Tribolium castaneum: one gene and its partner. Each later gene encodes a partner of the first gene's protein in a complex. Links are inferred from orthologs where the notes say so. Each region holds a gene or a part of one and is shown in the gene's direction. Other genes may lie near its edges.

Evidence for each region. Proteins that work in one complex are often made in the same cells at the same time.
Region 2: thoc6 (region 1) and thoc7 share a complex: the UniProt entries of both Drosophila melanogaster proteins name them as parts of the THO complex. The link is inferred for Tribolium castaneum from reciprocal best matches to the Drosophila melanogaster genes thoc6 and thoc7.

What each region holds. Positions count from the first base shown.
Region 1 is NC_087395.1:25,799,138-25,805,162, forward strand, and holds thoc6 (THO complex subunit 6), read left to right. Parts: upstream 1-2,926; 5' UTR 2,927-3,107; coding exon 3,108-3,220; intron 3,221-3,266; coding exon 3,267-3,656; intron 3,657-3,701; coding exon 3,702-3,864; intron 3,865-3,913; coding exon 3,914-4,234; 3' UTR 4,235-4,266; downstream 4,267-6,025. Other genes in the region: DNA oxidative demethylase ALKBH2, read right to left, coding at 2,695-2,710; uncharacterized protein LOC662691, read left to right, coding at 1-354; protein rhomboid, read left to right, coding at 1,617-1,790, 1,843-2,163, 2,211-2,546; uncharacterized protein LOC103314375, read right to left, coding at 4,548-4,969, 5,354-5,529. UniProt on the Drosophila melanogaster protein: The THO complex is required for cell proliferation and for proper export of heat-shock mRNAs under heat stress.
Region 2 is NC_087397.1:9,556,666-9,560,951, forward strand, and holds thoc7 (THO complex subunit 7 homolog), read left to right. Parts: upstream 1-1,341; 5' UTR 1,342-1,462; coding exon 1,463-1,499; intron 1,500-1,552; coding exon 1,553-2,166; 3' UTR 2,167-2,287; downstream 2,288-4,286. Other genes in the region: alpha-ketoglutarate-dependent dioxygenase alkB homolog 6, read right to left, coding at 2,288-2,935; arginine-hydroxylase NDUFAF5, mitochondrial, read left to right, coding at 3,131-3,422, 3,469-3,620, 3,961-4,286. UniProt on the Drosophila melanogaster protein: The THO complex is required for cell proliferation and for proper export of heat-shock mRNAs under heat stress.

The sequences.
Region 1 (6,025 bases):
CCCGCCCCCAACCTCCAATCGCTGATTGTGGACGTTTTAAAGCGCAAAACAACCACCGAAAAACCGTTCAGTTTGGACAAAGTCTTGCAATTGTTGTTCTCAACCGAGGAAGAAGTTACAACAACGACGAGTACAACAACAACTTCCACAACAACACAGCGACTTTCGACGACCGAATTCGACTCAAATACGGTCGACTCCAGCACTTCAAACGTCGGAATTTTGAAACTGGCGGGCTGTAATATTTACGGAAGGATGTATCGGGTCGGAAGGATAATCTCCGAATTGTCGAATCCTTGCTTGGAGTGCAGGTGCACTGAGACCGGGGTGCAATGTCGGCCTTTGAAATGCTAGATCTCACTCACTTTATACCTAAGAAAGTCCAGCAGAAAGGGTTCAAATCAAAATAATAGTTTTTGAAAAAAATTGCGAAAACGTGGAGTCAACGAATATTTTTCAACCTCGAGAATTAGTTTTACAGACTTTTATTTACATAATTTTACTAAAAATGTTCTTTTGTTTGTTATTTTTTTTATTGAAATTAACAGAGATAAGCTGAGTGGAAGTAGCTAAAGTATTTTGATTTAAAGGCTTAGTGACTGGACTAAAATACGTATTTGTTCACGTATTGTAGTATTAATTTAATTCAATTTAATTTAACTCTCACAACCGCAATCACCTTGACAGGTGCCAAGTACAAATTTCTATTTGCCATGGAACACGTTCAGATATTCTGCCGATATTTCATTACATCTAATTTAGTTTTTAATTATTTTGGTTAATTATTACGTGTGTGATATTGGTCTTGTAGGATTTTTTTACCAAAAATTTAAACGAATTTTTTAATTGTTTTGAGCGGATAATAAGGTGAAAAAATGTAGGTAAACTGTAGGAAATATCAGACAATTTTTATACACTGCAATTTGAGGCTATTCAACCAACTTACGTTTTATGTAATTATTAAAAATAAAAATCAAAGAAATGGTTTTGTGTTTATTCTACTGGCCTTTTTTATTTTATTATTTTTTTATTTTATTGCTCTTAAAACGTCATGGCCACCCTAATATTTAGGTCACCATTGACGGAAATACAAAAATAAGAATTTTTTCGCTTACTTTGATAAGTAAACATAAAAATGTAAGAGTAGAAAATACGTGCAAGTTTAAACTTTAAATGTAAATAAAAAAAATACATACATATTTTGGGGCATATTTACAATTAAACCAAACTAACAACATTCTTATCTTGTTTCATCGATTTTATCACTTTTATCTGGCATTTCGCTTAAAACCGGTGCAATTACTTCATTAAATAAATTGTCAGTAGGTGTATCAATTACAGAGGAGTCATGTCTAACTATTTTCACTCTCCTCGAGAGTGAAATACCTTCTTAAACGCAAGTTTTTTGTTTTTATAACTTTAACTATTTATAGTTGGTTCAGTTTTATTCAAACTGTATGCGGAGTAGATGCCGCATAATAATTGCTCAAATAGTACGACACAAAATCGGGCCTATTTCCCTCCACTTTCGGACATGTTCCAGTAAGTACCTAATTTATTATCACACACAATTTTAATTAATTAAGTTTTCGACCCAAATTTGGTAAATTTTAATTATGCCACCGTCGCAAAAAATCCAAGTGAAATTAACCGACCCCATCGACCCCTTAATCGAAACCGAGCAAGTTTTTATCCCCTTTCCCTTATCACAAGAAGTGAAGAAATCGTCGCAATGGGCCGCTTGGGCAAGAAACACACCTTTCGGTATTTTGTCAGTCAGTGTTTTAGAGGTAAACCAGATTTTTGCATTATTTTTAGCTAATGTTTATGGTAATTCACCAGATAATCTTCTACGCTGCCTCGGATGAAAAAACCCAAAAACTGCTCCGCTTCGAACCGCACAAACTGACCGAAATTTGGCGATTCGTCACCTACATGCTTTTGCACGAAGACTGGATCCACCTGACTCTCAATATTTTCATGCAAGTGCTTTTCGCCTATTTTTTAGAAGCGCGACACGGAAGCGTGCGGATTCTTGTTTTGTACGTGACCGGGGGAATCACCGGAGTCTTGGGAGCGGCCTGTTTTCACCCCGACTTGGTCATTGGGGCCTCCGGGGGCGTGTATGCGCTTTTAATTTCGCACATTTCCGATATTTTTCTAGTAGGTATAAAGCGAGCGAGAAACAACATTTTTGTAATTTTTTTCAGAACTTTGAAACCTTGAATTACAAAATCTACAGATCTGCGTGTATCGGAATAATCGTCATTTTCGACATTATCTACAACGTGTTACATGCCAATTTTAAAAAGGAGCCTTTGATATCGTGGGGGGCCCACATGATCGGGGGCCTCGCAGGCCTGTTTTTGGGTCTAGTGCTCTTCAAGCAAAAACCGTCAATTGCACGCACACGGAGATTAGTTTTATTTTTGGTGGGTTTATTACTTTACGTAATTTTATTGATCTCGCTTGTAATAATAACCGTTCAGATTAAAAAATGTACTCCGAAGGATGCCATACGCAAGCGGTATGTTTATTTTTGCTGATATTTTTTTTATAACGAGTGTTTGGCTATAAATGTGCGGTAGCAAAGTAAAGCGTGAAATTACACAACTTATAGATGTTTGCGGCTATTTTTAGACGTTGGTTTTGTAAAAAAGTGAAAAATAAACGATTAAACAAACTGCTGCTTACTTGGTTGCACGCTCATCACAACACCACTAGCTCAACTGAGATTTTTTTAACGTTTTTAACACTTAAATCTGCGTTTTCTCGTTCTTTTTTTATATCTATACAAATATGTGTACGTTTTAAGGTATATTTTTTACGTTTGTTTTAGAGTTTATAGTATAATATGTTTAATTATGACATAAAAAAAACATAAATAAAGTTAGGTATGCAACTAACTTAACCGCGTTGCATGTTAAGTTGCCTGTATTAAGTCGATTGAGGTTATATTGTTTAATGTTTGGGGCTGTATTTATGTTAAATACACGTTTGCGCCCTTTGTAATCGTATAATTGGTAATAAAACCAGACTTTGTACAGTAATATTGCCTATTAAACGTGCGTTTAATTCACAAAAAGTTATTTTTTCTTAACCTCAAAATGGTGAACAAGTTGAATAAATCGTTCTATAACACTGTTTTGAGCCAGACTTTCACCCCGTGTGGCAACTATCTCGTCGTAGGTGACATTTACGGCACAATTTCGGTCTTCCAGTAAGTATTAAGTAACTTCCAGCAGCCCCCTGAACCCCAGTTCCAGCCTTTCCAAGCTAACAAACCAAGGATCTTCGATCACAAAAGAAGACCAACTGCCCAAAAACGCATTCACGATTAAAGAAGACGTCCAAATCAACAGTTTATTGACCATGAAAGCGTTCCTTGTTGTGGGGACAGTTGGCGAGATTTTGGGGTACTCCTGGAAGAACGTCAAAACGAGCAAAAAACCCTCCTGCTCGTGGACAATTGAAATCCCGAACTCCAAAGACAGTTTCGACAAACCTGACGTTAATTGTTTAGTGTTTGAGCCCGAAAATAATTTATTATTTGCCGCCTGTGGCGATAATAATGTTTACGTTTTCAACATCGAGACACGAAAAGAAGTGCGGTGTTTTAAAGGGCACAAGAATTACGTTCACTGCATCAATTTCTGGTAAGTGATTACAGGAACCTGTACTTTGGTCACATGGCATTTCAGTAACAATAAACTGGTTTCGGGGGGCGAAGACGGGCTTGTGCTGCTATGGGATGTGAGAGGAGGCCCCCCAGTGAGCAAAATCGAGCCCCACAGTAGGGATAAAGTGGCCAGGGTGGAGCTGGGGCCCTGGATAGGGGGCGTTGGGATTAACGATGATTGGCTGGTATGTCAGCAATTTTGGGCGAAGTGGCCCCCCTTAAATGATTTTTTAGTTGTGCGGCGGCGGCCCCCGACTGTCTTTATGGCACTTGCGCTCCCTGAATATCGCCACAGTGTTCCCCATTGACGATAAAGGGATTCATGTGGCGGAGGTCTACCAAGACAGGATTTTCGCAGGGGGGCGCTCTAATTTATTCTACCAAATGAGTTTTAACGGGGACATTATCACGGAAATTCCGACGTCTCCTGTGACCACGTACAGTGCGGTGCATCAGGATGAGCCCTTCCAGACTTTGTGCATTGCGGGGTCGAGCCCCAAAATCGACGTTTGTAGCAACTTTATCTACAAAAATTTGCAACTATCTCTGTATTAAGTCTTTAGTAAAATAATAAACCATAAATAATTCGTCCAGAATTTGAATTTGACAGCTGTCATTGATGCTCTTTAGGTTAGGATAAGGTACCGTTAAAGAGTCAAAAATCGCTCGAATGTGACCCCAAATCGTTTATAACCCTTATTATTTTTTTAAGAACAATTAAGTTACAGTATGGCCAAGTTTGAGTGCTCAAATTGGCGTATTATTGTGTGAAATCGCAAATTTCATATTTAAGTTGGCAGGACTGTATTAAAAGACAATTTAAACTGTTTGAAATAAATTTTTAATAAATAATTTGTACAACTTTTATTTACAAAAATCCGTGTCCGGCTATAACCGCCGGTATGAACCCCTCCTCTCCCTCCTTGTTGCGCACCCAGAACCACCCCGGCACATGGGTACCCTGGAGTACCACAACGTCGCCTTTCTGCACCTGAAGGGCATTTTTTTCGGTGCCAAAGTAGTCACTGTTGATGACTAGGAGTGTTTGTCGTTGGATTTTGCCACGTTTTGAGGATGCCAAAGCGCTGAGGTAGAGTCGATCGACGCTTCTTTCTTCACAGGTGCTTGAGGGGCGCAGTCTTCGGCTGTGGCAGCGCGTCTCGACGCTACATTCCGACTTGGAGCTGAGTTTTTCGGTGTCGGTCATGTTGCCGGAGGGTTTAGGGAACACATCGGTGCTGTTCTCCCAGCAAGGGGCGGTGGCGTCGTCCTCAGGGGGTGGGATAATGCCTGATATAATTTTTTTGATTTTACCATTTTAACAAAATTTTCAAAAATTAAAGCTACAAACAAATCATTTTCATTGAAACATTATTGCACAAATTACCAAATTATTAGTTACCTAACTTACAAAAAAAAATTATTATTCTATTAAATGTTCAGAAAAATACTCATATTTTACTCATCATATCAGTTTTTATAGTGAAACCTTTAATTTAAGCAGTCTATGACTTTGACACACTATAAGTTGAACTTTGCCAACTTGATTTAAAAAAAAACACAGGTTACTTGATTTTGACTAAAAATTGCTCGATTTCGCTCTTTTTTGAGTCAAAAAATTAGGAAAAAATCTGTTTATTACCTAGTGGTAAACAGGCCGCATAGCTGACATACCCCTCCTCGGCATGCGGCGTCTGCACATACAACCAGTGCTGGTTTTTAAAAACGGCATTAACCACCATCCCCAAAGGCAAGGCAATTTCGGCTTGGTATCCTCCGACTCTCGTCTGGTAGAGAATGCTGGGGAAGGCCAAGACGACCGGAATGTTGGCCGGTTTTTCAATCGTGGCCTAAAATTTACCCACAATTAGCTTTGGTTGTCCGAATAGGAAAAAAAACACACACACACGATCGAGATTAATAAGGAGATTGCGACGACCCTACAATTATCGTTCGTGGGTGGATATTGAACAGGTGTTTTCCACGATTTTGTACCCCTTGACCTGAGTTTCCGAGGCGTTTAATTGCCCCTCTGACAAACTAAACACCACACGCTGGAGGAGGATGTGAGCTATGGACCGGTAACTACAGACCGGACTCCTCCTCTAACCAGACTTGTGAATTATAGCCCACGGAACGCAGAAATGACCCCAGGCAAGTGTACACTTCGACGATAATCGATTCATTTTCGGAATTATCGGAGATGGCTGGGAAACAAGCGGACAAAACAGAGAAAAGTTTGTTTGGCTGCTAGATTATAACTACTAACTATTGATTCCTTAGCAAATAATTCAAGAATTTTGAACTATTTTTTTATTTTTGATACTTAATACTAATAAGTGATTA
Region 2 (4,286 bases), on another chromosome or scaffold:
CCGGACACGCGGTCTTCTCCTGAATCGTTTAAATCCGATGAGTAATTGGAGATTCGTCGACAAAATAAGAAAAAAGTGAACTTTGAACTGCTAAGATCATAATTTTCGACGGATTTTTGAAAATATGATTACGGGATTTAATTTATTGATAACTAAAGTATCCACGTTTATTAAAAATGTGATTTAAATAATGAATCAAGTAGTAATAAAATAATAATAAACAAGGAAAGTACACCGTTATCAGTCATGTTTACTTTGGTGTACTTTACCCTTTATTAATTTTTTCTCATTAGACACGTGAAATCACCTAGAGTAAATATAATCATCAGGTGATCATTCCGTTAGTACCTGTACCGATAGAAACCAGATATTAAATATCTTGCAATGCTTCAAGTTTGATATAATTGATAAAATATAAATAAAACAATATTTTAAAGCTTAATTAAATATGAAACTACGAGTTACGTGTCTAAAAAGTAAAAACTATTTAGACTGTTTATTGTAAGATTTACCGAAAATTCATCTTATTTTTTTGTTTTGAATTTAAATTGTGATGACCTTTCTAGACCTTTCTGTTTTTTGTCAAATGCACATCGCGTATGAAATACTCTAATAGCGATAAAAAATTTTGAAATATGTCTATCCAAAATAATAATAAATAAATTACCCAAATAACAAACATCATTAAAATTGAAATTAGAAACTTTTTGCTTTTTTGTGAAAACAGAAAATAGCACAAGAAATAACTTGTGGTAGCAAAAACTGGAGCAGATTCACTTAAAATGTAAAAATCTTTAATACATAGTTTATTTTTTGTTGAATTTTTTGAGGTATTATTGTGTTTACAAAAACGGCCAAAAAATAGCTTGCGGGAGCAAAAAATTGCACAAAAAAAGCTTTCAGGAGCAAAAACAACTCAAAACAAATAGGTTGCGACAAAAAAAATGCACAAAAAATTGCTTACAGGAGCAAAAAACGACACAAAAATTTGCTTTTTTGTATTTCCGGGACTAAAGTTGGTACTTTAGAAGCTTAAAGTTCGAGGGCTGTCGTTATGCAACGAGCGTATGCGAGACACCTAGACACCTGAGAACTTTAAGCGTTTTTGCATAAATTATTATTCAAAATTTTTTGTTTTTGTTTAAATTTAAAACACGTTGCTATGGAAAGCGTGTTTTAAAATAGTGAAAACATTCGTAGCCGATGACAAAATCACCAAAATACGTATTATTTAATAAAATAAATTATAGTCATATTTTTAAATGATTTACGCTTTATAAGCTTTTGTTATATGCAACCATTAAAACACTTATCTCAACATGTCCTCTAATTGCTATTTCTAGTAATTTTTGGTTTAGACTTTCGATGCAACTGTTGGCAAGTGCCAACATTTGACAATTTGTGTCATAACCTCAAAAAATACAAATTTTTCGGCGTCCACAGTGCAAACAAATCCGCCTTAATGAAACAAAAGGACAAACGTGGTACCATGTCGGATGGTAAATACTTCCCTTATAAAATTACTAGTGTGTCCAAACAGTAAAACTTCTAGAGGACATTATCAAAAGAAAGTTACTCATAGACGGTGACGGAACCGGCGACGATCGCAGGCTCAACGTAATAGCAAAAACTCTTCGAAAATGGGCAAATTCCACCGAAGACTCCCCCTTAGAGAACCAAGCAACCCACGACAAACTACTAGCACAATTAAGCCTTTGTGAATACTCAGTCAGGAGATCCCAACTCCTCACAAGAACCACATCGCGTCAGCTTGAAAACTACAAAAAAATTTACGACAAATTTGAACAGCAAATCAGCGAAGTAAAAGACTCAATCAAACAAAACAAAGACAACTTAGTACAAGCCAAAATATGGAAACAAAACCACATGATGTACGATTTGTTGGCACAAAGTATTGCCGAACAGCCAGCACGCAAGGAAACAAACGAACGCCTTTCGAACTTACAAGCGGAACTGAAAGAGTTGCACAAGGAAAAGGAGCTGCTGGAGCAGAAACTGGACATGAGGAGAAAACAATTTCACGTGCTGGTGTCCAGCGCCAGCAAATTACAAGCAATGTTGGAGGAGTCAAACGAATATTGCCATAACGACAGTCTACTTGAGGATGTGGCGGACAGCACAGGCCCTGAACCCATGTCTGAATAATTTAAGTTGGTAAAAGTGACAATTACCACGGTTACTTAATTTATGTTAGAAAATCTGACAGTTACCATGGTTACATGTCATCAGCTATGTTATTTTAGGCGAATAAAAGCAAGTACAAAAATTATTTGAATAGTTTTATTTTAAGCACCTTAGTCACATTTCTAATGGTTAGAGAAACTCTCGTGTCTCTTTTGACTTTATCGCCAATGGCGTATTGTTTCTCACAATTTAGTAAATTTGCACAGCCTTCATCAATAACATCAGTTTCAATTTCTCTAATGGAATGGAGGTATTTAGCGTACATGTCGTCTTTAATTACAACTAGACTACACCTTTCGAGAAGTAATTGGCAAACTTTAGCACGACTTTCGTTATTTTCTAAAAACTCTAATACTGTATGAGAGCCACACGAAATGGTGGCAATAGTGGGATAAAACAGTGGCCCATCAGTGTGTGGCATTATGCCTTGGCCGGGAAGATATTCGTTGATTAATACTTGATTCGGTTTGTTTCCCTCAAAAACGTTCAATTGAGCGACTTTTTCCATGTATTTCGTCAACCAGTTTGGTATTGCTTCCGGAATCATGCCTTTCTCGTGGGGCACGCCCCCGTAGTCTTGCAGTCTTCGTTTGGACAAACACGTCCACTTTGGTTTGGGCACTGAATACACATTTTTCAAAATGTGGGCCTCCTCTTCAGGTGTTACAAAATTTGGAATGTAGTAGACAGTCGGAGGGGCTTGTAACACTTGAAAACTGCTCAGATCCATCGAACACACAACAGTAAAATAAATACATGTAAGAATTTGGAACAGAAAAATGGGGCGGAGGGCTAAATCTAACTTCAATCACAACAGTTGACATACATTTGACATTTGGTTAACCTCAAAATCCTAAACTGTCATTGTGACAATTATGATTTGTTGTGCTGAAATGAGTTGTTTTTAATTCATTTAAACAGTGTCATGTCTTTGGTTAATATAGTTTTCCGTTCACGTAAATCCTCTTTGACAAAACTCCGCATTTTGAAGAATCTTAAAAAAGCGAGACACTTTTCGGTCGGTGCTTTAATTCACCAGAAAAATGACGAACACATTATGCATGTGTTTGATAGGAACACCAAGAGTTTGCAAAGGGAACGGGCGGCTTCCGCACAAGACGCCAATTTGTATGATTATTTGAAAGATGAAATTGGCTATCGACTAGCAGACAGGGTGTTTGATATCAAACGCAAGTTTAAACTGGCCGCAGACATTGGTGAGTTTAAGTTCATACAGGAAGAGGAAGGTTAAACCTAAATTAGGTTGCAGCAGGGGCTACGTGTCCAAACATATTTCACCAAAATGTATTGAAGAACTAATCTTATGTGATATGAACCGCTTTAATTTAGACAGTGTTCAAGTACAAGAGGGTATTAAAGTTAGGAAACAAGTACTAGATGAGGAACACATTGAGGTGATTGAAATTTCCTGATCAAAGTAGTCTCCGACTTTAAAATTAATAAGTTGGCGACAATGACGCCCTTGTCAGCATACTCATGTTGCCAACCTATTAATTTCAATGTCTCAGCTACGGATCTCTAAATGTTAGGATATCAAACGAAGTACAAGTAATAAGTTCCTTGATAGTTCCGTTAATGTCGCCAGAGAGCGGCAGTTGTTCCATTGTAAAGTTTAACCCTGCATTTTTTACAAGTTATTAGGGAGTTGGTTTGATTTAAATCCTGCAAGTTTGTATCTCGTTTAGTCTCCTAGCCATAATCCTCTGTAACTGGTTTAAAATATATTACATTCAGTTTGAGCCAAACTCCCTTGATCTGGTTATATCAAGTTTGAGTTTGCATTGGGTGAACGATTTGCCGAACGCTTTTAAGCAAATTTTAAAATCGCTTAAGGAGGATGGTGTTCTTCTTGCGGCGGTTTTTGGAGGAGATACTTTATATGAGTTGAGATCTTCCCTCCAGTTGGCTGAATTAGAGCGTCGTGGAGGCATTTCTCCTCACATATCTCCATTTACCGAAGTTAGAGATATTGGCAATTTGTTGACAAGGGCTGGCTTCACAATGCTCACTATTGACACTGATGAAATTGTTGTGAATTATCCTACTTTGTTTGAATTAAT